Linked DNA regions of Elephas maximus indicus. The protein of the gene in region 1 purifies or fractionates together with the protein of each later gene. This does not show direct contact. Links are inferred from orthologs where the notes say so. Each region holds a gene or a part of one and is shown in the gene's direction. Other genes may lie near its edges. The genes, in order: KLC1, CLSTN1, KIF5C and KIF5A.

Region 1 (8,113 bases):
CTGCTGTCGAGTTGATTCCGACTCATAGTGACCCTATAGGACAGAGTAGAACTGCCCCATGGAGTTTCCAAGGAGAACCTGGCAGACTCAAACTGCTGACCTCTTGGTTAGCAGCCGTAGCACTTAACCACTACGCCACCAGGGTTTCCACAGATTGACTAGGTATACTGAAAGAATACAACTCTGACACACACCTTTTCTGACTTTAAACTACACAGTACCCTCTTATTCTTTTCTAACAGCTGCCTCATGGTCTAGGTACAGGTTCTTCATGAGCACAATTAAGTGCTCTGGAATTCCCACTTTTCACAATGTTATCCATAATTTGTTATGATCCACCCAGTCTAATGCCTTTGGATATTCAGTAAAACATGGGTAAACATCTTTCTGGTATTCTCTGCTTTCAGCGAGAATCCATCTGACATCAGCAATGACATACCTTGTTCCATTTCCTCTTCTGAATCCCACTTGAATTTCTGGCAGTTCCCTGTCCATACACTGCTACAAATGCTTTTCAATTATCTTCAGTGTAATTTGCATGTGATATTATTTATTAATGATATTGTTTGATAATTTTCGCATTCTGCTGGATCACCCTTCCTCGGAATAGGCACAAATGTGGATCTCTTTCAGTCGCTTGGCCAGGTAGCTGTCTTCCAAATTTCTTGGCATAGATGAACAAGCACTTCCAGTGTTGCATCTGTTTGTTGCAACATCTCAGTTGGTATTCCGTCAATTTCTGGAGGCTTGTTTTTTGCCAATGCCTTCAGTGCAACTTGGATGTCTTCCTTCAGGACCATCGGTTCTTCATCATATGCTACCGCCTAAAATTCATTTTGGTATAGTGACTGTGTATCCTTCCATCTTTTGATGTTTCCTGCCTCATTTCATTTTTTGCCCATAGACTCCTTCAATGTTGCAACTGGAGGCTTGAGTTTTCAGTTCTTTCAGCTTGAGAAATGCCATGCATGTTCCTTCTTTTTGGTTGTCTAACTCCAGGTCTTTGCACGTCATTATAATACTTTGTTTTCTTGAGGTGCCCTTTGAAATTATCTGTTCAGCTCTTTTACTTCATCGTTTCTACTTTTCAGTTTAGATACTCTACATTCAAGAACAAGTTTCAGAGTCTTTTCTGACATCCATTTTGATATCTTTTTTTCCTGTCTTTTTAATAACCTTTTGCTTTTTTCACGTATGATGTCCTTGATGTCATTCCCCCATTCGTCTTGTCTTTGGTCATTAGTGTTCAATGTGTCAAATCTATTCTTGATGTGGTCTCTAAATTCAGGTGGGATATACTCAAGGTTGTACTTTGCCTTTCATGGACTTGTTCTAATTTTCTTCAGCTTCACTTGAACTTGCATATGAGGAACTGCTGGTCTGTTTTGAAGTCGGTCCCTGACCTTGTTCTGATTGATGATATTAAACTTCTCCATCATCTCTTTCCACAGATGTAATTGATTTGATTTCCTGTGTGTTCCATCTGCCGAGGTCCATGTATATAGTTGTTGTTCATGTTGTTGAAAAAAAGCATTTCTAATGAATAAGTTGTTGGTCTTGCAAAATTCTATCATGTGACCTACCTCTACCTCCATCATAGTGTTTATCAACTATATATAAATTATTTCAGTAGCATCAATGTCCCGTTTCTGTCTTCTGACATTACCCTTTTTAGATAACTGCAGACAACCAGTCAAGTCTCCACTTTTCCCAGCATTTCCTGTGATTGCTCAGAAGGGAGAGAAATAGGACACATATTCTCCTGGTCACTTAGAATATTATTGTCCCCAGCACCTGGCACACGTTCAGAGACACATCTGGGGCTCGATGAATGTGTGTGGAATGTCCAAATGCACACACAGGCAGACTCACCTTCCTATGGCACAGATTTGACCCTGTTGTTGGCCTCCCTGCCCCTTCAAACTTCTCACAGGTCCCTCTGTCAGCTGTGGCTGGGCCATCCAACATGACTTCACTCCCAAGTCTGGGGGCCCCAAAGGGACAGCCTGATGCTGGCCTTAGTTGTCTTCGTGGGTTTGACCTTTCCTGCAGGGCAGCAGTCTTCTCACTTGGCCGTTCAGGGCTCCCAAAAGCACAAGCATGAAGCTGCCTGGCCGCCTTCAAGCACAGCCTGAGACTACCACAGCGTCCCTTCATCCACATTCAGGAAACAGGCTGGTCCAGAGCCCAGGGGCGGGGGGTGGTGGCGTGCTGCGTGGCCAGATGGGAGTAGGGGGTGGTTGGTTCACTGGGGCCACCTGTGAGACTAGCACCACAACTTCCCCACTCTGAGGCTGAGAGACTGGCAAGCTAAGCTGGGGCCCCGTGCTGGGTATCCTTTCTTTCCTGGGTTCACCAAGAGGGACTCAAGCCTTAGTTCCCCGGTATTCTCAGAGAAGTGTGGGTGAGTGACAGAGGGGGTGGACTTCACCTTACCGCTACCCCACACGCGCACTCCACCTCTCCCTGATCCAAAGGGGTGGCGATGGTGCGAAGTTTCCCCTTGTTCAGAGGAGACCGACAGTCCTGGAGCTTTCTGCCTGGCGGCTGAGATCTTTAAAGGAAAAACACTCTAAAAACCTGATAAATTCCATTTTTGGACAATGAAGGCAGAGACCAGAAATGGCATGACAGAGCAAGGCAGGACTGTGCCCAAATTAGCACTGGCCTCTGAGGCCATATGCCCACTGCCCTCCCCACCCAGGCTGGGGGTGCCAGGGACTCACTCCCCCTTCACCCTGCCCACAGACCAGGCCGGGCCTAGTCCAGCAGCCCACATGAGGGTGACTTTTAAAAGCCCAGCCTGCCTGCCTCCTGCCCCATCTCCCTCCCTCCCCGGTGGACCTTTCCTCCTCTGTCCCTTTCCCCTCCAGGTACTCATGGACTCCAGCTGCTCGCTGACCTGCAAGCCTCTAGGCATTAAAAGCCAATCCCGCCTTCCCCCAAACCCACAGACATTTACGGTGAGATGATGAATGCCGAAAACAACAGTAATTTCCCATTTTCCTTCCCGAAGCTCCTCCATGGGGGCCTTGTCCCCTGGCCTTCACCTGCGTTGCTCTTCCCGCCTGCCAGGTGAGTGCCCTCATCTGTGAGTCCCCTGGATCCTTGAGGGATGAGGGGTGTACCCCCAGCACCTCTCTGGGCCTCCTCGCTGAGCTCCCCGCAGGGCTGTCAGCTCCCCGGTGCAGGGTGCAGAGCCATCTCATTGGGCAGTAGCTGGGCCTGGGGATAATGAGGACACAGCCGCTCCTGCGCCCATGCTCAGGGTCTGAGGGGAGAGGTCAGCTAACCATGCAGAGTTGAAAAGGCACTGGTGGAGGCACAGGAGGCTTGACTCAGACTAAGCTGGCTGAGAAGGCTTCTAGGAGGGAGTGGCTCTTGGCTGATCCTGAGGGAGTGCACCAGGACAGGGAAAAACAGAACTTCCTAGGCAGGATGGACACTACGTACAGGGGCACGGCCATGAGAAAAAGCAGGGTGGGCGCAGGGCTGGGCAAGGGTGTCTGGGGCCCAGCACAGAGGGAGTTGGAGCACCAGCTCCTGAGGGCCTTGTGAGCCAAGCGAAGCAGTTAAAACCTGACTCTGAGAGCCAGAGGCACATCGCAGCATTCCAAGGAGAGAAACACCCCAGCTCCTTCCTGCCTGCAGACTTCAGTCTGGTGCCCCTGGGCTTTTCACGTGGCTCCTTCCCTCTGCTCCCTTCCCCTGCCTCGCCCCACCACTTTGGCTCTGCCCATTGCTTCATCTGACTTTAATTCTCTGCATAGCCAGCTCCATCCAATATCTCTTTGCTTACATGCTTTGATCTGCTTCTCTTCAGTAGGAAGTAAACTCCTCGAGAGCAGGGGTCTTATATATCTGTTCACCAACACATCCTTGGCCCTTATTTGCGGGAATCTCAGGAGCTCGGCAAATACTTGTAGAAGGGATAAAGAATGAGGTAATAAACCTGCACAGGTGGGGGCAGTGGGGATGCACTAAAAATATGTTGTTGTTGTTGGCTGTCCTCGAGTTGAGCCCCTGACTCATGGTGATCTCATGTCCTGTGGAACAAAATGCCACCTGGTCCTGTGCCATCCCCGTGGCGATGGGTTGCTGTGATCCATAGGGTTTTCACTGGTTGGTTTTTTCAAGCAGATCACCAGGTCTTTCTTCCTAGTCCATCTTAGTCTGGATGCTCCGTAAAAACCTGTTCAGCTTCACAGCAACATGCAACCCTCCACCGACAGACAAGCGGTGGCTGTTCGTGAGGTGCACTGGCTGGGAACTGAACCTGGGTCTCCCGCATGGGAGAAAAGAATTCTACCACTGACCACCAGTGACCTAAGGAGATCTTAAGGAGGTAGAATCTTGGCTACCCGTGGGAAGTGGGGTACAGGGGAGAGGGCATCAGGGCTCCGGGTTTCTTGCCTGGGCGATGGGTGACTGGAGGTGCCACTTCCCATACCTGGCCTGGTCCTCCCTCCTCCACAGCACTTGGCAGTGAGTCAGGAGACACCTGTGCGTACCCTTCCAAACAGCTGCTGTGCCCAGCCTAACCGTGGTTGAGGAGCAGCACTGGAAGGTGGGTGATAGCTAGGCTGGGGTTTGGCCAGAATCACTAACAGCGTATGTGCGTTTCACTCTGCTTCATGGCCTCTGCCTTGGGCCCTGTAATTGCTGCGTCACCCTAGGAGCGCCCCCTTTGCACTCATAAATCAGATCGAAGTAGCTGGATCTGCTTGTGACAATCTGGGAGCGCTTACTTGCCTGGTGACTGCACAATTGCAGGTCAAAACAAGGCTGCCTGTCGATGCTGGGTGATACCATCTGAAAAAGACAGCGGTTCACAAGGGCAGGGGCTGGCAGGGGAACCACCTGGCCCTTGGGACATTTGCAGGTCCCCAGAAGGAGGGATCTCCCAAGCTGGCAGCAGGCAGAGGGCTGAGCTGGGCCCCCTGCATCTGCGGCGGCCGCCTGGGTGGCTGCTGAGTCAGCCTGCGGCACTGGCGATGCGGCAGGACAGGACCCAGGCGCTCTCTGACCTGGAAGTACTGCCCTTCAGGCGGGCTGGAGGTCGAGGCGCTGCAGCAAGCGGTGTGGTCTGCAGGACGGCCGGGAGGCTGCCAGGGTGCGACAGCCGAGGTGGGCATCTCGTCTCTGGCCAGGCACGGCTGGTCCAGCATCCCGTCCCTTCCCCCAGCCTCAAGTGCAGTTTGTGTGAGAGCCTGCGGCCGAGGGGCGCGCCTGGAAAGTCCCCTTGAGCTGCATTCCTGAGGCTCCCGGGGCTGGGGGAGAGGGCATGAGATGGGGAGGGCGTGGCGGTGAGTCTTGACCCACGACTCTAAGTTTTCCTGGAGAACGGAGACAGGCCCCCTGGCCGGGAGACCTCGAGCTCGCCACCGGCTGGGCAGGTCGGCAGCATCGTGACCTTTGGGGGGGCAGACGGGAGCCCTCCCTGCAGGCCCTGGGCGGACGTAGGGGGCGCGTCAGCCTCACACCAGGCACAGGAGCGTGGGTCTGGCGCCCGACACGCCCGGGGTGGGCCGGGGCCGCGGCCGGGACGTGGGTGGACGAGGCGCGCACCTCCTCCGACCACATTCCGGGCGGGTACCGGCTGGGAGGGGCGGCGGCCGAAGCGCCGGGTCACCCCACGGCCGCGTCCCAGCAGCCCAGCCGGGCCGCACCTCTCCCTGCCCCAGAGCCCGGCGCCCACCCCGGCGACGCCCCCGGATCTCGGCCGCCGAGCGTGGGCAGCGCAGCCCCCGGGAGCCGCGTGGGCGCCGCGGCCCGAGTCCCCCGCCGAGCGCTGGCCCCGCCCCCGGCGCGCGGGGGCGGGTGACGTCATCCTGGGCGCGGCGGCGCGCGGCATTGTGGGGCGGGGCCGGCCGCGCCGGGAGGGAGGAGACGCCATTTTCGGCGGCGGAAGCGGATCCGGCAGCGCGGAGCGGAGCTGAGGGCTGCGCTCGGCGCCGGGAGACACGGGGCGCGAGCCAGTGGGGATGCTGCGGGGCGGCGGCAGCGGCGTCGGCGTCCCTCGCTCGTGACTGCGGCGCTGTGCCTGGAGCGGCCGAGGCAGCGTCTCCTCAGAGCGTCGCCCCTCCGCGCGCAGCCCCGCCGCGTCCTGCCCGCGCGTGGCGAGCGCGGCCCCCGCAGGAGCAGGACGGTGAGTGCGGCGGCGCGGCGACGGCCGGGCGGTCCCGGCCCGATTCCGAGCGCGTCTCGGCCCCGCCGCGGCCCCGCGCCGGTCCCCTCTCCCGCCCCCGTGACTGCCGCGGGCGCTGCGTCCTCATCCCGGTCTCCATCCCGGTGTCCGCCTGCATCCCGGCCGCCCGCGTCCCGGCGCCGTTCTCCCGCGGGCAGGGGCGGCGGTTCCCGGGGACGGGGCGGCGGTTCCCGGGGACGCGGCGGCGGGGCTCGCTTTGTCCGGTCCTCCCTCTTCCTTCCGGCCGCCGCCCTCTCCGCGGCGCCGCCCTGGGCCGACGCGCCGGTGCCCCTCGCGGGCGATGGGAGCCGCCCCGGCTGCAGACCCCCTGTCTGGCCGGCGCCCCCGTCTTCTCACGGGCAGGTGGGCGAGGTTCCCGTCCGCGGCCTTAGCGCACGCTGGCGCTGCTGCGACCCAGCTGGCCGCGGCCTCCGTCCGGAGTACGTTCTCGGTTGCAAAATTTGTGCACGTTATTCTTTAAATGAAAATAAAGATTAAAAAAGTAAAATTGACGCGTGGTGGATTGCATGGCTTTTTAGCTAAAGATTTGTAGGTCCTGTAGGTCGTTCCCGGATGTATATATATGGATGTTTTTGTTGAAATTTGTTGCTGTCTGTTTTTTCTCATTGAAAGAATATGCTCAAAATTTACGTAGTAAGCATGTCATAAGGAGGACTTGGAAAAATGAGTTTTTATAGAGCGGGAAAACAGCAAAAATTTAAGATGTGTATACCATTTAAAGTGCAATGTAGATCAGTTAGAGCTTTGATGGCTTGCACAGTTAAATTCCAAGGTCTTTTTTTTTTTGGTACAGCATGACTAAGCCCTTGGTCAGAATCTGTAGCTTGGAATACATTGTAATGATCCAGTGAAAAGCCTCTTAGGAGATTGGAACGACCTCCTAAAAGCTAATAATTATAGAATTTACCTCTTTCGGGGATTGGTAACAAGCCACAGTTAGAGTGGAAATTTGACCCATTGTTCTGTTTCATAAGTGTTTGTAAGAATACCATGGTACTAAATATTACAATTTTCAGATGGTGTGGAATTATGGGAGGGTAGGCGGTCTGAGCTGTTTCTCCACGTCACCGAAGAATGCAACATCATGTTGCAGTTGGCGCTGGGTGATGGAGCGCCAGGCATGGGGACCCTCCCTGGGCCCTGCTGTGTACTTTTCTCCGCAGGTGTGAAGAAATGCATGGGGCTCGCACAGTGATTCTCTCCAGCCAGCGGGAGGGAGGGAATGAATGGCCCTGGGGAGGGTACCGGGTCCCGTGTTTCATAGATTCCTAAGCATGTTTCACAGTGTTGCAGAAAAAATAAAGTCAGTGTGTAGATTTCCCCATAGGGCTTTTATAAACTAGCTTAAAACATCATGTAATTATGTAAAAAGAAAATTAGAAACTGGAAAGGCAAAAGAGTAAATGTAGGATTGGTTTAACCTGGAAGTATTTTTGGTAGCCTTGTCACCGTTTAAGTGGAATATGAGAACCAGTATCCGATGTAGTTAAGACTTGATCACTAAAATCCTAAATAAGAACAGGCAGAAAACTTCAGGTGCCAAATTGCAGAGGGTAGAATGAAAATGATTAGCAAATTAAGATTGTGAAAGGGTGGTCTTAAATGTCTATTGAGAACGAGTTAAATGCCAGGCACTGTGCTAAGGGTTTGGGGATGTAAAAATAGAAGACAGTTACTGTCCTGCCGAGTGGATTCTAACGCGGTGGTTTTATAGGACAGAGTAGAAGCGCCCCAGAGGGTTTCCGAGGCTGTAATCTTTCCAGAAGATTGGCACATCTTTCTTCCATGGAGCGCTGGCTGCTGGGTTTGAACCGCTGACCTTTTGGTTAGCGGTGGAGCACTTAAACGCTGCACTACCAGGGCTACTTGTACGTAGACAGGCACCACCGCCTACGCTGAAGCATT
Region 2 (7,485 bases), on another chromosome or scaffold:
ACGCCCACCTGAGAGCGGCTCCACATGGTTGGCAAAGAGCTTTTCAGCACGCAATCTCATTTCATCCTCGGCAACTCTGGAACTGGGAAATCGTGTCCCAGAGGAGGAACTCGAAGCTGGGTGAGAACAGTCTCCCATGACCTGGTACAGCCACAGAACGGCAAGCCGGGGCTTGAAACCCCATCTCCTGACATTGGTGGGGCAGGCTGGCTCCAAAGCATTGGATCCCGTGTGGGGCCTTTTTGATGTCTGGGGGGTACTTTCACACACAAGGCAAAGGCATATTTGGAGCTCCCATGGACATGACATTGCATTTCAGGTTTCCTTCTTTCTAGCAATGATCTCTTGAGCAAAATTTACATTGTTCTCGCTTATAGGAACAGGCAAATGCATGGAGACCACAGTTTATTAGCGGTTACCAGGAGTGCAAGGGAGGGGGAAAGGAGAGCCATTGCTTAGGGGGCACTGAGTTTCTGCCAATCGTGCTGGAATCCTTTGGAAAAGGATAGCGGTGACGGTTGCGCCACATGATGAATGTAATCAATGTCACTGAACTGTGCGTGTAAAAACTGCTCAATTGGCAGCGGTTTTGTTACATGTATTTTTTAACTACCAGAAAAAAGTACAAAAGCAAAAAAAAAAAAAAAATCATCGCTCTCATCTGTAAAACAGGGACTATAAGAAGTTCCGGCTGCTGGAGGCATAAATGATAGATCATGTATTTAACACAGCTGTTGTTGTTAGTTGCCATCGAGTTGATTCTGACTCATGGTGACCCCATGTGCACAGGGTAGAACTGCTCCATGGAGTTTTTAAGGCTGTGACTTCTCAGAAGCAGATTGCCAGGCCTGTCTTCTGAGGCACCTCTGGATAGGTTCGAACTGCCAACATTTTGGCTAGTAGTAGAACACTTAACAATTTGTGCCACCCAAACAAAAGAAAACAAAACCCCAAACCCATTGCTGTCGAGTCGATTCTGACTCATTGTGACCTAGAACTGGTCCACGGGGCTTCCAAGGCTGAAATCTTTACAGAAGCAGCCTGTTACATCTTTTTCCTGCAGAGCAGCTATTGGGTTCAAACTGCTTACCTTGTGGTTAGCAGCTGAGCTCTTTAACCACTGCGCCACCTAGGCACTCCTATTTAGCACACTACAGAGGTTGCTGTTATAAGACCCACCCTCAAAAGGTGCAGCGTTCTGAAAAATCTCCTTGTGTCCTTCCCACCTACTGCCTCAGCTCGGTTGATATGTGTTCAAAAATTCCATCTTCCTTGCCCAATGGACAAAGCCACCTCCTGTCCCGTGTCTGTGTTCTCCTAAGTGAGCTGACACTCCTCAGCGCCTAGTTCAGCTCCTTGAAGAAGCTAACCACGGCATGAAGTCCAGATCGATCCCCACCTCAGGGCCATCTTGAGGATTAACTACTGCGTCACATACAGACCTTTGAAAAGTGCCAATATGGCCGAGGCTGTTGTCAGGAGGATGGCATCCTCAGTTCCCCAGCTTCCCTCGCTTCCAGGATGCTGCAGCTGAGCTCTGCAGCTGGGCGAACTCTCAAGGGGGCAAAATCACAGCGTGTGCAGGTTGCATGGAGCGCGCCAGCCAGCTGTCTGCCCCACCTGCAGCTGAACCTTTTTGATCTCTTTGTTTCCTTAAGGGACAGCCAGGCTGAGGAGATAAGGGGATTCAGATTTCAGACACCAAGGTTTTATTTGTGCTTTTAATAGAACCGAATATATTTCAATTTTCTCTCTGGACTCAAAATACAGTTCTGAGATTATACCTTCCTGATTTTATGTTTTGTAAATCTAGAAGGTCCATGAAAACCTACAGGGAACACTGTTTTTCCATCTAGGTATGATCTCTATAAGAGACTAACTAACATAGCAGTTCATTTAGTTCATCACCGAACATTTACTGAGTACGTAGTAGGTGTTCAATAAATGCATTTGGCTGCTAACCAAAAGGTTGGGGATTCGTACCCACCCAGTGGCTCTGTGAGATAAAGACCTGGCAATCCGCTCCCATGGGGTAGTTTTACTTTGTCACATGGGGTTGCTTTGAGTCAGAATCAACTCGAGTCACCTAACAACTACACTATGTATTCACCAGTATAGCAGAAGCTCAGAAGGCTACTAGCCCTGAGAGAAAAAGAGAAACCACCATATATTCGGCACCTACAGTATACCAGGCTCTGTGAGGCACTTTAATGCCTCATGTAATTATCACTAGTCTAGGAAGTAGGTGTCAGTATCCCATTTCACAGATGAAGAAATTCAGAAAGTTCCATAACTTGTCCAAGGTCATTTGTAGTATTGGGAGCCGTAATTCTAGTTTAGTCCTGTCTGATGGTCCTTTCCACTAGAACACAGTGGGGAGAAAAAGGTGCACACGTGGAATAGTTAGCACAAGGCAGCAGATTAGAAAGCCTGCGCTGTGAGGTATAAGAGTTGGTGGGTATCAGTGCAGGAGGGCCTGCTAGTCAGGACTTTCTGAAGGAGGTAGCCCAGGGATGAGCCTTAAGGACTTAAGGCTCAGAGGAGGGGTGAGGGTGGATGTGCTATGATGCTGGCCCTGGGTAGGAGAACTAGAGCTAAGATGGAGGTGAAACCTTAGGTCCTGAGGTTACCTGGGTGGGGCCCGGGGCTGACAGCTTGGGAGCTCTGCGGAGCTGTCTGAACCAGAGAGAGGCTGCCAGCAGCCAATGGTTTATGTGTCAGGGAGGGACAGTAGCAACACTCAGGGAGGGTGACTCCCACATCCTTGGCTGGAAGGAGTGGTGGGACACAGTCTAGAGATGGCAGGGACCTCAGGTGAAGTCCAACCAAGGACATTCTAGTGTCCGGCCAGCATGGAGAGTTGAAGGACAGAGGTTATCTTGGGGGACAAAGGACAGAGAGGGGCATAGTCAATTATACGACTGCTTTGAAACTCCCCTTGGGTCACATCACATAACTACTTCCTATTGCTTGCCAGCTCAAGTCCAAATACCTCATCCTATCATTTAAGGAACCTCACAATCTGGCCTCAATCTACCTTTTTGGGATCCTTGCCCACTACTCTTCTAAATAAGTCCTCTCCCCTACCAAAGGAGTGACTCATTCTCCTCACAGCCTCCAAGGCTGCCCACTCCTCTCCACTGACCCCCACCCCCAAGCTCTCCCGAGAGCCCACCAGCCAGCTGAGCTCTTACTGCAAACGTAGCCCTTGGCACTTGGCAGTGAGTCACCTTTGATATTTTCCAGCACAGTGGCATAATTAACATTTTATTGTTATTTAACTTTTTGCTGTAGGTGTCTCATCTCCCTAATGAGATGTCCTCCACGGCTGATTCTTCTTTTTACAGTAGTCGTCTCAATTGGGGAAGTCATATGTCTCTCTGACTTAGTTTCTTCATCTGCAAAATGGAGCCAATAACATGGTCTCATGTGGCACAGTGCCCGGCACACAGAGTTTATCTGTTAGCCAGTCCTTTCCTCTAGTGTGGGGCTGTGGCCCCTGCCAGGGTTCGAGATCACCAGCTGAGAGAAGGGGGTGCCCCAGAACGGAAGAAAAGGAGAGGACCCCATATTTCTGCAGGGATCCATCAGAAGGGCCCTCCTTCATCTAGTTGGATCTCCTCATTTCTAAGGGCCGTGAGCATCACACTTAAGATTGGTTAGAAAGACAGTACCTTTAAAAAGCCAGAATCGGATTTCTTAAGCAAATGGAGAAATCTTCGAGTTGCAAATTGAGGACGGACGCCTGGGAACACGCAACCCCCTCCCGGGCTGGTACCACCGCGGCACGTGCTGCGCAGCCCTTAACTGTTTAGCCTGTCACGCTGCCCTCTTCCCCTTGAACATCTTGCACCACCCCGAGTGTTACCTCTTATCACCTCCACTAGGCACAAGAGGACACCGAGAATCTGGGAGGCAAGGACTTGCTGGAAGTCAGACAGGGTGCTGGCGCTCAAGGGCCCTGGGCTGCATAGCGCTGCCCTGGGGTGGGGCTGGGGAAGAAGTCCTTCACATGAGAGAAGCGAAACTTGGGCTCCAAGGTGCCACTCGCTTGGCCTCTGGAGCCTGGGAACGCGCCTGGGGACGAGGAGTGGTGCACTCCGGCTGCGCGGGGTCAGGGCGTACACAGATCGCGGGGAGCCAACCTCCGGCGCATCCCCCGCGGGCGCGCGCGCTCTCCTGGTTCTGCCAGCCGGTTCGGAGGCGCGAGTTCCCCGGCCTGTCGCGCGCCCGCGCCCCCCACGCGCCTCGCACCGCCCTCCGCGCGCTCCCGGGCCCACCGAGCGCACGCGCCCGTCCCCGCCGCGCCCGCGCCCCTGCGCCCCGCCCGCGCCTCGCGCCGCCTCCCGCGCGCTCCCGGGCCCGCCGCGCGTCTCTCGCTCCCCGCCCCTCCCGCCGCACCCCGCCCCCGGCCGGGTACCCTCGCCGGACCCGAGAGAGAGCGGCGCCGCCATCTTAGTTGCTGCCGCTGCCTCCAGCGAAGCGCTGCCTGCGCGGCGGAGGAGGGAGGGCGCCCGCGGCCGGAGCGCGCGGCCCAGCGTCACGGCGGCGGCGGCTCCTCCTCGGACCCCGGTGCTCGCCGCAGCGCCAAGCAGCCGGCCTCGGGGCGCGATAGCCCCGCTCTGCGCCCCGCGTGCGTCTCTGCCGCTCCCGCCTCGGGCCGGCCGAGGCGCAGGGAGCCCGAGCGATGCTGCGCCGCTCCTCGCCCGCGCGGGCCCCGGCTGCCTGGCTGCTGCTGGCCGGGCTGCTGTGCGGAGGCGGGGTCTGGGCCTCACGAGGTAAGCTGTCGGGTCGGGGCGCGGGGTCTCTGGTCGGGGCGCGGGGGTCCCGGTCAGGGCGCGGGGGTCCCGGTCGGGGCGCAGGAGGCCGCGGGCGCGCGCTGCACCGCCTCGGGAAAGCCGGGTTCGGTCCCGGGCGGCGCACCAAGGCTTGGGCCGCCCCTTTTGCGGCCCCGGGAGGTGGCCGTGCGGGATCGTGGGGGCGTGCGGACGGGCCGAGGGGTCCTCTGCAGCGCACGAACTCGGAGATGCACCCCGGGGTGCGATGCTCGGTACGTGCGTTGTGTGCTGAGAGGTGCAGCGGGGCGGTGGGGGCACGCACAGTTTTTGTGTGTGCTTACATAAGAACCCACTCCTCCGCATCCTTTCCCAAGACCCCGAGTCCCGGCTGCTGCGCGGCGGACACTGCACCGTTTCCCCTGGCCATCTCCCCCCAGGGGCCTTTAAACGTCTGTTTCCAAACGAACAGTGGCGGCAACTTCTTGCTCCCCTCGCCCCTCCTTGCACCCTGAGGTCAAATTGTGTGTGTTGGAAATCTCCGTCTCCCCCGCCCTCGACGCCTTGGTGCAGTTTTTCTGACGGTAATTAGATCGTGCAGGAGCTTAGCTGGCCTCAACAGAAACGAGAAACGAATCCCCGCGGTGATTTCTTAGGGTTGTAGGACCGACATTATTTTGTAGTTACATGGCAAAAAAGATTCCTTGGTGAATTGATTACTTATTTTACCTTCACGACTTGACCGTTTAAACGTTACATGATTTCTGATATTGATTGATCTTGCCAACCACAAGCTTACGCATTGCAGATACAGGCTTCTGAATGGATCTTGGAATCGTAAACATTTTCCTTGGCCTTAGGAGCAAAGTAATCTAGGTGTAGTCTATAGAGTATTTGAATCTAGTCTTATGATTTTTTTTTTTTAATGAAGTGTGTGTGTGTGGGGGGGAGTTTTGACAGAAGTCTCGATGAGCCCGTCAGCATTTCAATTTAGCAATTTAAAATTCTCTTTTCTCCTCTTTGGCACGACATTGTTGAGCCAAGTATGGTGTCCACAAATTAAAGGGCAGAAGAGGCAAAATGCACCTTTTGTTCCATATTCTTTTCTTAACATGGAGGATGATAAGCTTTGAAACTTCATTCATATCTTTGTAAAATCCTGTTGACTGTGTGGGATTCAGATCTCATTCACTAAGTATCTAATTGTGCTCAATTTACAATTTGCTTTTTAAAAGTTACATCAAGCTAAATTAGAAATGTTCTCTCAGATGTGAGATGGAGATCTGAAAGTCTGTATAGCCAAAAAAAAAAAAAACACACCAAAAAACAAAAACCCACAGTATGTGTCAAAGTTTTGCTTGTCTTGGGGAAAACCCACCCATCTTTTAGTATGTGCTTGGTTTTGTATTTTGGAAACAGTTCAAGTATATTTAGTTTAGTCGATGATAACATTTCATGTTAAAATCCTTGTTTTCTTAAGTTTGTCCATTCAGTCACATTTGCTATTCATTATTGAATTACTTTGTGCACTTAAATAGCATGAATTTCAACTATAAATACTTTCATTATGCTGAACTGAGAAATCTTACGTGAAAGATGCGTTTGAGTATTGAGTCCTTCGTAATTTCCTAACTTTCTCTAAGCTTTTCTTGGTGCAGTTATAGTACTTCAGGATTCTTAGACTTCAAAATAAAAACACATTTTAAACATCACTTATTCTGTTGCATTTGTTTTTCAGCTTGCAAATTAGAATATGTCTCACTAATATTACATGAGATGCTAATAAAGTGATAACATTTTGAATAAAAAATGAATTTTTTATTTAAATAATACCATTTGTGGAGATATTTTGTATGGGCTCATTTTAAGTGATGATTGTTTCAACTAATATTTGAATTTTTTTTATTGCTGCAAAGAAGTATGCCATTATGAACTGCTCTTCATACTCCAGTTACCTCTTATAATTATTAATGGGATAAAAATCACATACAAACTGCTGGAGAGAATGATAGACTTTGCGACATAAATTGTATTTTGGCTCTTAAGTAGTTGTTTTATGGAGAACCCCAAATTTCCCTTTAGTAGTTCTGATAGTACCAAAACCAAAAAACCCGCTGCTGTCGAGTTGCGTCCAACTCATGGCGACCCTATAGGACCCTATAGGACCGAGGAGAACTGCCCCGTAGGGTTTCCAAGGCTGTAAATCTTTACGGAAGCAGATTGCATGCACATCTTTCTCCCAAGGAGCTGCTGGTGGGTTTGAACCACTGACCTTTTGGTTAGCAGCTAGTGCTTTAACTACTGTGTCACCAGGGCTGTAATAGTAGTAGTAGTTCTCAAAAAACAAAGGTCAAGTAAAGCAAACTGTTTGGAGAGAGAGGCTTGGCATGTGTTCGTCCCTGATGGCCTTCTCTTTAGGCTGCCTGCTTTTTCTTCATTGAGTTAATGATCAGGAAATAGAAGTTCAAGTACAGGAAATAGGAACCTGCCCTTCCCTGCTCCAGTTTTTCTTTTTCCCACATGCTTTGTTACTTACGTTTTGTCTCCCCTTACTAGAACAGACCTCTCAAGGTGGAAGGGTTTTGGTCTGTTTTGTATACAGGTGTATCCTATCAGCCCAGCTGTCTTAGTTATCTAGTGCTGCTGTAACAGAAATACCACAAGCGGGTGGCTTTGACAAACAGAAATTTCTTTTCTTACAGTGTAGGAG
Region 3 (7,978 bases), on another chromosome or scaffold:
ACACCATAGCACAACGAATTGGCAGATACGTGGTGGAAATTTTCCAGCAGTCAATTAAAAAAAAGTAAGACCCCCCCCCAAAAAAAGGTGATGTTAATTTTACTTAACCTTTTAGCATATCTTATATACTCAATATATCCAAAGTATTTTCATTTCAACATGTAATCAGTATAAAAGAATTATTAACGACATATCTTTTTTTTTTAATACTAAGCCTTCAAAATTCTGTTTGTATTTTACACTCAGCACATCTGGTTTTGAACAATAAATTTTCATCAGAAATAATCTGTATTTAGATTTCATAAAATTACAGTTGAAAAAAGTAGATTCACATACCCAAGCCATTCCAAGTGAACATAAAAGTTTTCAAATAATTTTGAAATGTAGTTAAATATTAATTAACAGTGACTTGATCATGTAGTCAATGATCCAGGTCAAATTAAATTTAACTAATTAAGATCGATTGCCCCATGCATCTGTCAGTTTGTTGTACTGTGGGGGTTTGTGTGTTGCTGTGATTCTGGAAGCAATGCCACCAATACTCAAATACCAGTAGGGTCACCCATGGCAAACATGTTTCAGCTGAGCTTCCAGACTAAGACACACTAGGAAGAAGGACCTGGCGGTCTAATTCTGAAAAGAATTAGCCAGTGAAAACCTTGTGGAACATCGTCTGATGTAGTGCCGGAAGATGAGCCCCTCAGTTTGGAAGGCACTCAAAATACAACTGGGGAAGAGATGCCTCCTCAAAATAGAGTTGACCTTAACGATGTGGATGGAGTCAAGCTTTTGGATCCTGCTAATGTAGCACGACTCAAAATGAGAAGAAACAGCTGCAAACATCCATTAATAATCGGACCCTGGAATGTACAAAGTATGAATCTAGGAAAATTGGAAATCTTGAAAAATGAAATGGAACACATAAACATTAATATCCTAGGCATTAGTGAGCTGAAATGGACTGGTATTGGTCATTTTGAATCAGACAATCATTTGGTCTACTATGCCGGGAACAGCAAGTTGAAAAGGAATGGCATTTCATTCATTGTCAAAAAGAACATTTCAAGATCTATCCTGAAGTACAATGCCGTCAGTGATAGGATAATATCCATATGCCTACAAGGAAGACCAGTTAATATGAATATTATTCAAATTTATGCACCAGCCACTAATGCCAAAGATGAAGAAATTAAAGATTTTTACCAGCTTCTGCAGTCTGAAATTGATCAAATGTGCAATCAAGATGCATTGATAATTACTGTGAAAGTTGGAAGCTAAGAAGGATTGGTAGCTGGAAAATATGGCCTTGGTGACAGAAACAATGCCAGAGATTGCATGATAGAATTTCGCAAGACCAACAACTTCTTCACTGCAAATACCTTTTTTCACCAACATAAATGGCATCTATAGACTTCACCAGGTAGAATACACAGGAATCAAATTGACTACATCTGTGGAAAGAGATGATGGGAAAGCTCAATATCATCAGTGAGAACAAGGCTGGGGGGGATTGTGGATCAGACCATCAATTACTCATATGCAAGTTCAAGTTGAAACTGGAGAATATTAGAACAAATGGACGAGAGGCAAAGTACAACCTTGAATATATACCACCTGAATTGAGACCACCTCAAGAGTAGATTTAACGCATTGAACACTAATGACCAAAGACCAGACGAGTTGTGGAATGACATTAAGGACATTTTGCATGAAGAAAGCAAGAGGTCATTAAAGAGACAGGAGAGAAAGAAAAGACCAAAATGGATGGCAAAAGAGACTCTGAAACTTGCTCTTGAACATCAAGTAGCTAAAGCAAAAGGAAAAAATGAGGTCAAAGAGCTGAACAGAAGAGTTCAAAGGGCAGCTTGAGAAGACAAAGTATTATGATGACATTAGCAAGGACCTGGAGATAAAAAACCAAAAGGGAAGCACATGCTCAGCATTTCTCAAGCTGAAAGAACTAAAGAAAAAATTCAAGCCTCGAGTTGCAATACTGAAGGATTCTAAGGGGAAAATATTAAGTGACACAGGAAGCATCAAAAGAAGATGGAAGAAATACACAAAGTCACTATACCAAAAAGAATTGGCCGATGTTCAACCATTTCAGGAGGTAACATATGATCAGGAACTGATGGTATTGAAGGAAGAAGTCCAAGCTGCACTGAAGGCATTGGTGAAAAACAAGGCTCCAGGAATTGACAGAGTACCAGTTGAGATGATTGAACAAACGGCTGCAACACTCGAAGTGCTCACTTGTCTATGCCAAGAAATTTGGAAGACAACTACCTGGCCAACTGACTGGAAGAGATCCATATTTATGCCTATTCCCAAAAAAGATGATCCAACCGGATGCAGAAATTATCAAACCGTATCATCAATATCACATGCAAGCAAAATTTTGCTGAAGATCATTCAAAAGTGGCTGCAGCAGTATATCAACAGGGAACTGCCAGAAATTCAGGCCTGGTTCCGTTGAGGATGTGGAACCAGGGATATTATTGCTGATGTCGGATGGATCCTGGCTGAAAGCAGGGAATACCAGACAGATGTTCACCTGTGTTTTATTGATTATGCAAAGGCATTTGACTCTGTGGATCATAACAAATTATGGATAACACTCAGGATAATGGGAATTCCAGAACACTTAATTGTGCTCATGAGGAATCTGTCCATGGATCAAGAAGCAGTCGTTTAAACAGAACAGGGGGATACTACACAGTTTAAGTCAGGAAAGGTGTGCGTCAGGGTTGTATCCTTTCACCATACCTATTCAATCTGTATGCTGAGCAAATTATCTGAGAAGCTGGACTATATGAAGAAGAATGGGGCATCATGATTGGAGGAAGACTCATTAAAAACCTGCATTCTGCAGATGACACAACCTTGCTTGTTGAAAGTGAAGAGACCTGAAGCACTTACCAATGAAGATCAAAAATCTCAGCCTTCACTATGGATTACACCTCAACATAAAGAAAACAAAAATCCTCAAAATTGGACCAATAAGCGACATCATGATGAACAGAGAAAAGATTGAGGTTGTCAAGGATTTCATTTTACTTGGATCCACAATCAACACCCATGGAAGCAGCAGTCAAGAAATTAAAAGACACATTGGGCGAATCTGCTGCAAAAGACCTCTTTAAAGTATTGAAAAGTAAAGATGAGGATTAAGGTTTGGCTGTTCCAGGCCATGGTATTTTCAATCATATCATATGCATGTGAAAGCTGGACAATGAATAAGGAAGACCCTAGAAGAACTGACACCTCTGAATTGTGGTGTTGACCAAGAAAATTGAATATGCCACGGACTGCCAAAAGAATTAACAAATCTGTTTTGGAAGAAGTACAACCAGAATGCTCCTTAGAGGCAAGGATGGCAAGACTACATCTTACACACTCTGGACATGTTGTCAGGAAGGATCAGTCCCCGGAGAAGGACATCATGCTTGGTAAAGTAGAGGGTCAGTGAAAAAGAAGAAGGCCCTCAACGAGATGGATTGACACAGTGGCTGCAATAACGGGCTCAAACATAGTGACAATTGTGAGGATAGTGCAGGACTAGGCAGTGTTTCGTTCTGCTGTGCATAGGGTTGCTACGAGTCTTGACAGCACCTAACAACAACAAGATTGATTAAATTTTAATTAACCAAATTAAATAAAATTAAAATTCACTCCGTCAGTCCCACTAGCCACATTTCAAGTGCTCCGTCGCCACCTTGGCTGGTGGCTACTCTATGGGACAGCACATATCTGCAGAGTCTAAGCACAGCACAACCAAACATAGAAATCTACATGATTGATTTGCTGTGTGTCCAAGGATGGTTCCAGGTTAGGCCAGTGATAAAAATTCCTATCTTGACCTTCAAGGTTTTTTTTATGGTTGGACCCCAAATTGCCTTTTGAACTAATCTCTCACCTGTTCCATTCTGGCCCCATAGGTCTCCTTACCATCTATGGCCGTGCCAAACAGTCTGAGCTCCATACCTTGGCTTTTGTTGTCCTCCTGGCTAAATATCCTACTTTAGTTGGAAAAGGCAGTAGTAGAATTCTCACCTTTCGTGCTGGAGGCCTGGGTTCAATTCTTAGCCATGTGCCTCATGTGCAGCTGTCACCCATTGTCAGTGGAGGCTTGTGTGTTTTTATGGTGCTAAACAGATTTCAGGGTAGCTTCCAAACTTGAATGGACTAGGAAGAAAGGTCTGTTTAGCTAGTTCTGAAAATCAGTCAATAAAAACTCCATGGACCAGAACATTCTGATTCTCAATCCATCATGGGGATGGCACAGTGTTTATTTATGCATGAGGCCGCCATAAATTGGGGGCACACTGATGGCAGCTAACAACAACAACCACTCCTAGTCTTCAGGAGTCCAGGTACCCTCTTAAATAGCATGCAAAATCTTGAGGGTATGTAAGAGGTTTTTTTTTTTTTGCAATGGAGAAGGTCCCTAACCTTCATCGAGTATTAAAGGAGTCAAAACGTCTTATGAACTGCTGTCTATGTACAGGCATTTCCAGGAATAATTGGCTTCAAACATCCACGGCAAATCTCATTTCCCCCTGCTTTCCTCACAATTCTTAGAACACCGGGAATATAGGATATAACCTCCCACTCTGTCCTTGGCTTGGACAGCTAGACCGGACCTACAGGTCCTTGGAGGTCACACCTGGGCACCACTACTATCCCGGAAAGCCAATTCCAGGCATCCTTGACCTTTCACGTGCACGTGGAGCGACTACAAGTCCCGGGATGCGCCGCGCCAGGCTCCGAGCCGGGGCGAGGGCGGGCGGATCTCCGCAGTGACGTCACGGTCCGGGGCGGGCCCGGAGGGGTGGGCGGGGCGGAGGGCGGGACCGGGAGGCTGCGGAGCGCCCGGTGCTGATGCAGGATGGCTGAGCGCGCAGGAGCCCGGGAGGTCTGAGCCGGGAGAGGCTCGCTCCCTGCGCGTCGCCTCGTCCGCCCGCCTCGTGTTCGCGGGCAGGTGGGGCCGGGGTGCAGGGCAGGGGCAGGGCGGCGCCGGGGGCTGGTAGGTTGCCTCCCTTCCCGGGCTCGGAGCGGCCAGAGCTCCCCAGCAGCCCGAGTTCACGATGACCTGCTGAGAAGCGGCGTCGGAGGCTGCAGGAGGCAGCCTCGCTGCGGGAGGTGCGGTTCGCGGCCTCCTCCCTTGTCGTGCGGAGCCCCGGCCCCCAACCCATCCCCGCGCCCCCTCCCCGCAGCCGGTCGAGATGGCGGATCCAGCCGAATGCAGCATCAAAGTGATGTGCCGGTTTCGGCCCCTCAACGAGGCGGAGATCCTCCGTGGGGACAAATTCATCCCCAAATTTAAAGGCGATGAAACCGTGGTGATTGGGGTAAGTGGCCGAGGGGCCTGGCCTCCCCTTCAGTTTCGCGCCGCAGCCCGACTCCCCGACACCCCAGACGAAGCGGAGATGCTCGGGTCGCCCCTTCGGACATCCCCGAGGGGCAGACCCCGCACCCCGGGTGGACTGAGGAGTGACCCCCCCCACCCCACCCATAATTCCCTCCAGGTTGGGTGGAGGGAAGCTGGGGGTGGCGGGGCGGGCCCCGGTGGCGGGGGTGGGGGTGGGAGGCGAGGAAGGGCTCGGAGCCGCCATTGTTCGCGGGGTGGGGGCCCGAGTGGGCCTATTGTTCCCTGTCCTGGCCACGCCGCGTGGGTAGTGTTGGGTACCCTCAAGCCCGGGTGCCGGGGCTTCTCTTAAAGTATGAGCTATGTAGCCCACAAATGCTTCCAGGAATCAGTTCGATTTATCGAACACTTTGACGACTCCTCTCACGATCTTAGCGAAAAATGAAGAAAAAAAAAAAAGGTATTGGAAATATCCTGGCCTCGACTCGGAGCTCCCGCGGCGGCATAGACGCGGCTCCCTGCGGCGTTTCGTCTTGCCCCGCGAGGAAGCCTGGGGTGGGGGAAGGGGACGCTGGTGGCCTTGGTGTATCCTGGAGGTCTGGTGTGTCTCGTTCCGCTTCCCCTCAACCCAGGCTTCCTTGGACGTGGAGCCTGGGTTTGACCCCCTCCCTGCTTGGGCTACCCCCCACCTTGTGTTGGCGGATCATGGGATGTGCTTCCTACGGGGTGGAGGGAAGGCTGTGTCCCTATCTGTGGAGCGAAGGGACCCAGAGCGCACCAGATAGCCCATCTGTGCCAAGAGCAGAAGTTACTTTGTGTGGTTAGAGGCCCCCTCCCTCTTAACCTCTTTTCCCACCTTTCTCACCGACTTAGCGCTCTTCTGCTGCCGGAGCTGCTGGTGGGGGGAGGGGATACCACTGGGTTTTAGTTCTTTAAGGAATATTTCAGCCCTACCCTCCTCCTTTTCCCCCACCGCGGTCCCTAGCGTGCGGCTGACGGTGCCCCCTTTGTATGCCAGTGGCGTGGGGAGGGACTGAGTTAATGGGAGCCTCCTGGTCCCCGCTGACATGTTCTTGGCAGCCCGCTCGAGGCTGCTCTTGCAGCCTTGCCGTCCCCAGCATTGATTAAATGATGTCATCCCGATCACTGAGCATGCTCCGACTAACCCCCTCCCTCCCACCCCCCCCCCAGTGGTTAGTGTATTTAGGTCAAATGATTGACAGGTGACAATTTACCGAGGGGCTTGCTGAAGCTGTCTGAGTCTGTCTGCACACTGGAAGTCCCCAGCATCTTCGCCAAGGTTGTTTTGCCGCAGTCCCTGCGAAGGGCCCCGGGGACCAGCAGGTGCTAGCTGTAACTGTAGGGTGGTGGCTCTTCGCGCCTGTGGAACCGAAACGGCTTCATTCTACACCTTCTTTACCAAGGCAGCTCTTGATGACTCCTCCACTCCCCATTTTCACAGTTACCAGAAAACCATGACTTCCAAATGCTACGCAGATGGGTATTCTTTCTGAGAGTTGACCTATGAGGGTGGGAAAGAGGGTTTCCTCCTTGCTTGTGTTTACTTGCAGAGATTTATGCTACAATTACTGATGAGGAGGGAAATTCTGCAGTTAATGGCGGGTCAGGGTTAGTGACATATCCATGGCCAGAAACTGGGGGCAGATAGTGGCTTGTTTGGGTTAAAGTTAGAAGTCTGGGTCTGCCTACGGTCTGATCTGCTATTTCCTGAGCCAGGCTGTGATTTAGAGTGGGAGTTACTCTGGACATCTAGTCCCTGCCTCTTGGCTGGTAAGAAATTTTTAACAGATAATTGTGTAGCACTGGAACATGTCCTGGTGACCCTAATTTTTTTTCCAGCGATTTTAAAGAAGAGCCTGGAGAAGTTTTCTTTTTCTTCTTCTCCTCTTCTTCTGATAAAGTGAGGTGGATTAATAAATTATCTTTTTGATCTGTGTGCAAAGCAGAGATCTTTAATTTTAGGCTTATCCTTCTTAAATATTGTGATGATAACATAAGTGTCTATAATGTAAGTGGAAACCCTGGTGGCATAGTAGTTAAGTGCTGTGGCTGCTAACCAAAGGGTCGGCAGTTCGAATCCGCCAGGCACCCTTTGGAAACTCTATGGGGCGGTTCTGTTCTGTCCTAGAGGGTTGCTATGAGTTGGAATTGACTTTGATGGCAGCGGGCTTAGTTTTTGGTTTATAATATAAGTATATTATTTTCCCATCTATATATATGAAAAAAAAACTTTTTTGTTTTTTTTTATATATGTGGGTCGCTATGAGTCGGAATCGAGTCGACGGCACTGGGTTTATATATATGTTATTAACTAAGTATATTGAAGGAAAGTCACCATATAAACTAACAGGTAATTTAAACAAAAACCTTTGGGTGTGAATATACTTGTTTTTAACTGGAAAGTGATTTTTGCTTATCCTACTATAAGCCTTTAATACAACAGCCAGTTTTCAGCTCTTTTTTTTTAAAATAAACTTTTTACTGAAGTAAAACATGCATATACAAAAGTGTTGTAAGTGTACAGTTTGATGAATCTTCACAAAGTAAATGGTTTCTTGTAACCACCTCCCAGATTAAGCACCACAACAT
Region 4 (7,100 bases), on another chromosome or scaffold:
GACTCAGTGGGGTGGGGATGACAGAGGGGACAACTGGGACCTGATTGTAAATGGTATGTACTGATGACAAAGATGTTACTCATTACTCTGAATCTGAAGGCTGGGGGAGCACGTCCTTGGCAATCATATCACAAGTAGGTGAGGGCTATCCTTGAATTAGGCCCGGAGCACCACTACCCCGGCACAAGGGTTAAGCATGAGTCGGGACCAAGGTCCTGTGATCCAACCCCTACCCGGAAAATACAGACAGAGCCGCACAAAGAGGGAACACGCAGGCATGTGCATGGGGGAAGGGAGGGGCAGATTCCCGGGGGACAGAGTTCCACCTCTGACACAAGAAAAGTTCTGCCACCCTAATCTCTTCCTTGGCAGGGTGAAGGCCATCACCAAGTATCCTGTTGTGTGTGTTCTGGGGTGGCGTGAGAGGTGGGGGGTTTATAGGGAGATTTGGGACAGCACGGGAGGTGTTGACACTGGTGGTAACACTAGGGCACAAGTGGTAACGACCAGCAACGACTTCGGGGCCGGGGAGCCGGCGCCTGCCGGGAAGGGGGTCTGGTGCGCCGTCCGACGGCCCAGCTCAGTCGGATAGAAGGAGTCCGGAAGGTGCTGCGGCCGGTCTCGGAGCGAGGGGAACGCGTCCTTGGGGCGGAGGAGGGGCTTCAGGCGGGAGGGGTTCGGGTTGGTGTCTGTTGGGGGTCCTAGGGTGGTCGGGGGCGCGGTCCTGGGAAGCCGTAGCCAGCCCTGTACTCACAATGCCGGGAAGGTCGGCGTATTTAGGGTCCGCCATGGCGGCGGCGAGGCGGGGTGGGGGGACCGGGGCCTCAGTAGAGCCGGGGCCGGTGTTCAGGTAGGGGAGAGGATGAGTCCGGGTCCCGGGCTAAGACGGCGGCAAAGGGAGCGGCGCAGGAGGCGGAGGAGCCGGAGGTCTCGCGACAGGAGTAGCACAGCAGAAGGGTAAAACAAAAGTCGCGAGAATAGCCTGATGCCACACCTCCGGCTAGGCAGGGATTGGCGAGAACGAGGCCAGAGAATGAGGTAATGGCAGGGATGGAGGGGAAACGCCGCCTGGGATTGTGGGATGTGTAGTCTTGGCGGGCTGGGGTTTGGGCAGGGAACGACAATAACGCGTCTTGAGGAGCTGTTTTACACTACTTATTTTCTTTCTTTTTTACATCAAGTCTGTGAAAGAGATCTTATATTTCCTTTTTTTCAGATGAATAAATTGGAACTTCCAGAAATTAAGTGGCTAGATAAAATCACAAAACTCGTCCTGTTATGGCATAGCCAGGGCTTGAAAAACAAGTAAAATTTAGTAAACGCTTAGAGCATATTAAGAGCTTTGGTGATGTAGTCGTTAAGTGCTATGGCTTCTAACCAAAATATCAGCAGTTCGAATCCACCAGCCGCTCCTTGGAAACCCCATGGGGCAGTTCTACTCTGTCCTACAGAGTCTCTATGAGTCAGAGATGATTCGACGTCCACTTTTTTTTTTTTTAGTGCGTATTAGGTATGGAAATCTTATCTTCTCAAGTTAGGGGTGTCATAAAATACAGGACGCCTAGTTAACTTTGAATTTCAGAAAAACAACTAATAGTTTTTAGTATAAGGGCGCATGCCATATTTGGGACATACACAAAAAATTATTAATTATCTGAAATTCAAATTTAACTGGGCTTCCAGTTTTTTTTTTTTTAATTTGGCAATCCTATTTCAAAGTTATATAATAGGAAAGTGATACTTCCATATCTGTCAGACCACCCTCTGTGCTCTTAACCACTTCACTAATAGTTTCAAGACCTTTGAATTTCACAGTTCAATAAAATTGAAACAACAACAGCAAATCTTTTTGAGGATAAACACCGAATTGCTACCTTTTTATTTTTCCAAGTAAATACATTAAAAAAAGAAAACCTACTGTCTCTATCACCAACTTAGCAGAAAAATAGGAAGTCTCAGAATAAAAGACAGTTCTTTTAAACTTAACTAGCTTTGTGAAAAACTCACCACATTGTTCTTTTCTTTAATAATATTTTATTGTGTTTTTTTGTGAAAGTGTTCCTGTTTGACAATTTCCACACAAATCTATCAATGACATCAGTTACATTTTTCACATTGTATCAACATTCTCTTTGTGCTCTGGTTGTTCCATTTCCAGTACTCTAGTTTCCCTGCCCCCTTATCGTCTCATCTTTACTTTGGATTAAATGTTGACCTTTTGGGCTGGTACAGATGGTTTTTTAGCAGAGCACAGATCTAAATGGTAATATATCACATTGTTCTTTTTGGGGGGTGGGGAGGGGAGGGCTATCCAGTGACCCTTCATGGCCTGGCATTCTGAAACTACTAAGTATGTTTCCCTGAAGCTCCTGGGGCCTCAAGGTTGGGATGTTTCCCAGGATATTTCTCGAGCTTGCAGGATGCTGCAACACTTAGAAATAGTGCCAGACAAAGTGACTGGAGAGATACCTATTTTCCTGAGTTTAGAACTCGTTGTCATTCTATCTACACTTTCCTGGCTCCTCCCCCAAGCCTCTACCCCTCTTTCTCCATAGTTCCACTGCCTTCTCATCCAGTTCCTTAAGCTGGATCGTTTTCCCTCAGTTCTCTTAAGATTCAGGTGGGTTAGAGATATAGGTCTGATGGGAACTCCCTCCTCAGATGAGTTCTGAGTGGTTGGGTCTTTTCTGGCCAGGCCATCAGCCTCTTACCCTTGCCCCTTAGTGTCTAAGTGACCTTAGACACTTAACAGACAATTGCTGGGTAGAACCTCCATTCCCTCCTCCCTGCTCCCATCACCCTGCCCCTCCCCTTGGCCCAGAGCTTCAACTCCTGCAGTCCAACTCTCTGTTGGCCAGCAAAAACCTGTGACATGGAGAAAAATCAATTCACCAGCTTCTTGGTGGTTCTGCCCCATGGGCTGCAGCTGTAGGTTGACCTGGGAGAAAGAAGGACAAGGCTTTTCTGGGCTTGACTTGTACCAGGGAAGGGAGGAGAAGCAGAGAAGAAAGGCCTGAGAAAGGGGCTGGGATATTGGGATTCTGTCCAGTGGTAACTGGAACAGGAAACATACATAGGTGCTTAAACCTGCTGAAACCCAAATGCAGGTGTTCACCCTAAGAATCCTCTCAGAGGCCCCTGTAGCCTTGCCCACTCCTATCACCACTCTCCTTCACCGCCTTCTGACTCCCTTTCTCTTGCAAAAGTTACTCCTGCCCACCTCCATCCCAGTCTCAATTTAGTAGGCAAAAATGAGAAATTCATCTGCTTTTGAATTCTGATAGGCCAGAATGGGAGTTTGTCTTCTTTCAAACTGGGGACCTGGTGTGTATGTTGGGGAGAGAGTAGGGTGCACCCTTGCATATAGAAGGGGAAGGTGGTAGCCAGACTTGCCCCTGATACCTCTTCCCCAAGAATGGGACCTGGAGACCCACCCTCAATACAGGTACAGGCAGCTGCCCTTGAAGGTTGAGTGGGTTGGGAATTTGGCATCTGTGCGTGGGAGGTGAGACGGGGGAATGAGAAGTGGGCTCCCAATTTAGAGAGAGGACTGTGACGGGGGTAGAGGATACCCCGGAAAAAAGGGATGGAAACCTTGTTGACCCTCTTGTTAAGACAAGCGCACCTCCGACCCTCTATTCCCTTCCAGGGGGTGGAGGGAGGGACAAACAGGTCGGGGGAGGGGGACGCAGTGTATGAACTGGATTGGGAAGGGGTGAGGCAAGTTATCTCCGAGCCTCAGGGGTGAGTAGGGGACAGGTGGGAGTAGGGAGGAAAGGTCACACCCTGCGCTGGTCATTGTCGTGCGAGCGGTTCCCGGCGAGGGAGGCCACGCCCCCCGCTCCTCATCGCGGCCCCGCCCAAGCCCGCAGCGCTGCGCTGCAGCGGGAAGGGCGGAGAGGCAGAGCGCCGCGAGAGCACCAGCCGCCAGGTCCCCCGCCCGCACCCCAGTGCCGCAGGAGAGAAAGCGCGCACAGGTCCTGCTCCCAGTCTTCGCCTCGGCGCCCCTCAACAGAGACCCAGCTCCTCTCCTCCGCCTCGGCCTCAGCTGAGCGCCCTCCTCCTCCGGAGCACACATCACCCCTGCAGCCCCAGAAGTGCCCCAGCCCCACGTCGGCGACCACCATGACGGAGACCAACAACGAATGTAGCATCAAGGTGCTCTGCCGCTTTCGGCCCCTCAACCAGGCAGAGATTCTGCGGGGGGACAAGTTCATCCCCATTTTCCAAGGGGATGACAGCGTCGTTATTGGGGTGAGTGCTGCCCCTGGAAGGGATTGGGGGGGGAGGGCGGGAGACTGAATCTTATACCGCAGAGCCTAAGCGCCTGCCTGTCACACTGCGCCCCCTCCCCTCCACTCATCCTCCATCCTCCATCCTTCATCCTCCAACCATCCTCCGCGCCGCAGTCCCTCCTTCTCTCCCCTGCATCAGGATGGCTGGGTGTGGCCTGGCCAGGCCAGCGGCCAAGACTCTGCAGAGGGGGAGGGGGCTACTTCTCCGGGACTAGGGGAGCCAGCTCGCCTTTACTACTCTCTACAGGTTCGCCACCCCTTAGAGTCAGTCCCGTGTTTTTCTGATCTTTTCCCTCTCTCCCCAGAGAAGGTGCATCTTCTCTTTGTTATTGGCTCAGATCTGTGCCCCTCACCTCCCAGCAAGGGAGGAGAAGGCTAGTGGATGGGCTAGATGGGAGGTGGGCAGTCCAGGGTCTCTGCGGTGGTGTGAATGGAAGTGGGGTCCAGGACCAAATCCGGGACCAAATTCCTCCATCATCCCCTAAATTAGTTAAGGCCTGGACTTGGGGGAAGGGCACAAGTCTGTTGAAGGGTGTTCTGGGAAAGGAATACATGGATGCCACGCCCAGCTTGGGGGAAGCCTCTGGGGTCCTAAGGAAATGTCTCCCTTTTCCTCCCAGGTACAATAGGAAGAAGATTTCAGACCCCCCAACACTTCCCCTCCAATAAGTAAAAATGCTCAAACCCAAGATCCTAATAAGTACCTGCTTATTCATCCTTTCCCTTGATGAACCAGTAAAAGGTAGCAAGCCACCTCTACCTCATCATGATAATCCTTAACCATGGAGGAGGTCTTGTTAAGAAGGAAAATAATATTTATTGTGTTCTTGTCACTCTATCCATATTATTTAGTTCTTAAAACAACACTCTGAAGCAGGGATTAATATTTCCATTTTACAGTTAAGGACCTTGAGGCCCAAAGAAGTTAAATGACTTTCTCAAGGTCACACAGTTAATTCATGGAGCTGAATGCAAATCTGTGAGTTCAAAGCTCATGCTTTTTCCTCTACATCGCACTGCCTCTCCAGATTTCTGTTCTGGACCTTTATCAGTTATGACTCAAAGGGAATTGCTAGGCCTCATCCACTCCACCTTGCCTAGGCTGGTGGAATGGGGTGAAAGGATCTGGGAATTGAGTCCTGTGGGGCTTGAGGGGTACTGGGCCAGGAAACTGTAGCCCTGCTTAAGAAGGGAGGGGCGAATTTGAGGGCAGTCCCTGAGCTTCTCAAGGTCAGGAGCACTTCTTATGTATCTTTGATCCACAGTCTTTGACACAAGGCAGCTGGAAACACGCTTGCTAAAGGAATGAAAGGAGAGGAGGGAACCTGGGCTCTATGAGTCAGTGAGAATGAGATTTTGAGTAAACATGTCTCAGGGAGAGGTCTGCTTACCCATCCCCAAGGATCCCCAAAGGGGACTATGCCACCACCCTGTCCCCTCACTCACCCTGTGAACTCAGATGGATGTTTTAGCCTTGTGTGTGTGTGTGTGTTTGTGTGTACTTGCCACATGGGGAGTGCTTCTGTCTCTCTTTGGCTTGGGATCTCAGACCCTGTAGTCTGGGGGCTTTGCAGTCTGGTCAGCCTGGACAGCAAATACTAACGATGAGAGTTGAAACTTGAGTCTCCCCCACACGAAGGCTGAAAAACAGAAGAGGGGTGGTATGGGGGAGCAAATCCACAAAAAAGGCTTCCACTTTTAAACCCAGCGTTGTTGCTCCAGAATGCATTTCAGGTAAGTCTGAACTAACTCCTTTAGGTGCTCTAGAACATCCTGGTGTGCTGGGCATGGGGCAGGGGGTGATGCTGGGAGAAAGAAATATGGTGCTGATCTGTCCAAGTAGCCTAGCTAAATAGGAGAGACACAATGGGTGATGGGAAGTGAAGAGAGATTGAAGAGAGGTGGGGGGCCTGCCAATTCAGATTCTCTTTCAGCTCTACAGCTGGTACTTCCTTGTCTATTTTGTCTGATGTTCGACAGGCTGTACCTTTGTTTTGCTTTGTATCTTCCCTCACCCCAGCCCTTCCTGTCAATCCCTCACTCCAAGGTAAATGCTTCTGAGGGGCCATTTTGTCCCACGCAGCATCCTGGGAGCTTGCATTCTCAACCTTACTATTCCTTCCTCATTCAGGAGAATGAGGGCTATAGGAGAAGTGATTTTGAGGAGACCCTTGAAGATCGCAACAGGGGAAGGAAATCTACCACCTTTCCCTTTCCTCTTTTCTCCTCTAGTTTCCGCTTGGGGGCCAGTGTGTGGGGAAACTGTCTGAGGAATTAATGGGAAGGTAAGGGAAGAGTGAAAGTGGGAGAGGATAATCCTTACAAACCCAGCCCCTGCTCCTTCCTGTAGCTGCTTTTTCTTTGCCTCTGCGGCACTGCGGCTAGCTCTGGCCTTTAGCATCTCTTATGTTCCTGAGCTTTGTTCTGCTTGGCAATGAGTAGGAGAATAAAGAGTAGGAGAATAAGCTGAAGAGACAGCTCTGTGAACCTTGTCACTCCCTCCCTCCCTGACTTCTCCCAGAAATCTGGGGCTTGTCAAAAGTTAATGGCCTGAGTCGTAGTAGAAGGATATCTGGGTTACTGTCTATGTGGTGTGCATCTTGTTTTGCTCTTTATGTCACTCAGAATCTCAGCGTGATTCTGTCACTGGATGCATTTATATATCTATCTTTCTCTGCCTTGGTCTTTGGTGGCTAGAGTGTCCCAGTGTCTGTTGTCTGGGCTGCTGCATCTCTACCAGGCCCTGCAAATGGAGCAGCAGACATGAGAGGGATGATAATGAGGAAAACACACACACACACACAC

Evidence for each region.
Region 2: the proteins of KLC1 (region 1) and CLSTN1 purify together in Homo sapiens (co-immunoprecipitation; 3 studies listed by BioGRID and IntAct, with this or other methods). This does not show direct contact. The link is inferred for Elephas maximus indicus from reciprocal best matches to the Homo sapiens genes KLC1 and CLSTN1.
Region 3: the proteins of KLC1 (region 1) and KIF5C purify together in Homo sapiens (co-immunoprecipitation; 4 studies listed by BioGRID and IntAct, counting the BioPlex papers as one, with this or other methods). This does not show direct contact. The link is inferred for Elephas maximus indicus from reciprocal best matches to the Homo sapiens genes KLC1 and KIF5C.
Region 4: the proteins of KLC1 (region 1) and KIF5A purify together in Homo sapiens (co-immunoprecipitation; 7 studies listed by BioGRID and IntAct, counting the BioPlex papers as one, with this or other methods). This does not show direct contact. The link is inferred for Elephas maximus indicus from reciprocal best matches to the Homo sapiens genes KLC1 and KIF5A.

Annotation. Positions count from the first base shown.
Region 1 is NC_064828.1:117,876,918-117,885,030, forward strand, and holds the start of KLC1 (kinesin light chain 1), read left to right. Parts: upstream 1-5,036; 5' UTR 5,037-5,127; intron 5,128-5,868; exon of another isoform or gene 5,869-6,148; intron 6,149-8,113. UniProt on the Homo sapiens protein: Kinesin is a microtubule-associated force-producing protein that may play a role in organelle transport. The light chain may function in coupling of cargo to the heavy chain or in the modulation of its ATPase activity.
Region 2 is NC_064821.1:49,323,603-49,331,087, reverse strand, and holds the start of CLSTN1 (calsyntenin-1), read left to right. Parts: upstream 1-4,435; 5' UTR 4,436-4,687; coding exon 4,688-4,778; intron 4,779-7,485. UniProt on the Homo sapiens protein: Postsynaptic adhesion molecule that binds to presynaptic neurexins to mediate both excitatory and inhibitory synapse formation.
Region 3 is NC_064824.1:45,731,873-45,739,850, forward strand, and holds the start of KIF5C (kinesin heavy chain), read left to right. Parts: upstream 1-4,841; 5' UTR 4,842-5,225; coding exon 5,226-5,351; intron 5,352-7,978. UniProt on the Homo sapiens protein: Microtubule-associated force-producing protein that may play a role in organelle transport. Has ATPase activity. Involved in synaptic transmission. Mediates dendritic trafficking of mRNAs.
Region 4 is NC_064822.1:117,451,791-117,458,890, forward strand, and holds the start of KIF5A (kinesin heavy chain), read left to right. Parts: upstream 1-3,898; 5' UTR 3,899-4,125; coding exon 4,126-4,254; intron 4,255-7,100. Other genes in the region: DCTN2 (dynactin subunit 2), read right to left, coding at 755-790. UniProt on the Homo sapiens protein: Microtubule-dependent motor required for slow axonal transport of neurofilament proteins (NFH, NFM and NFL). Can induce formation of neurite-like membrane protrusions in non-neuronal cells in a ZFYVE27-dependent manner.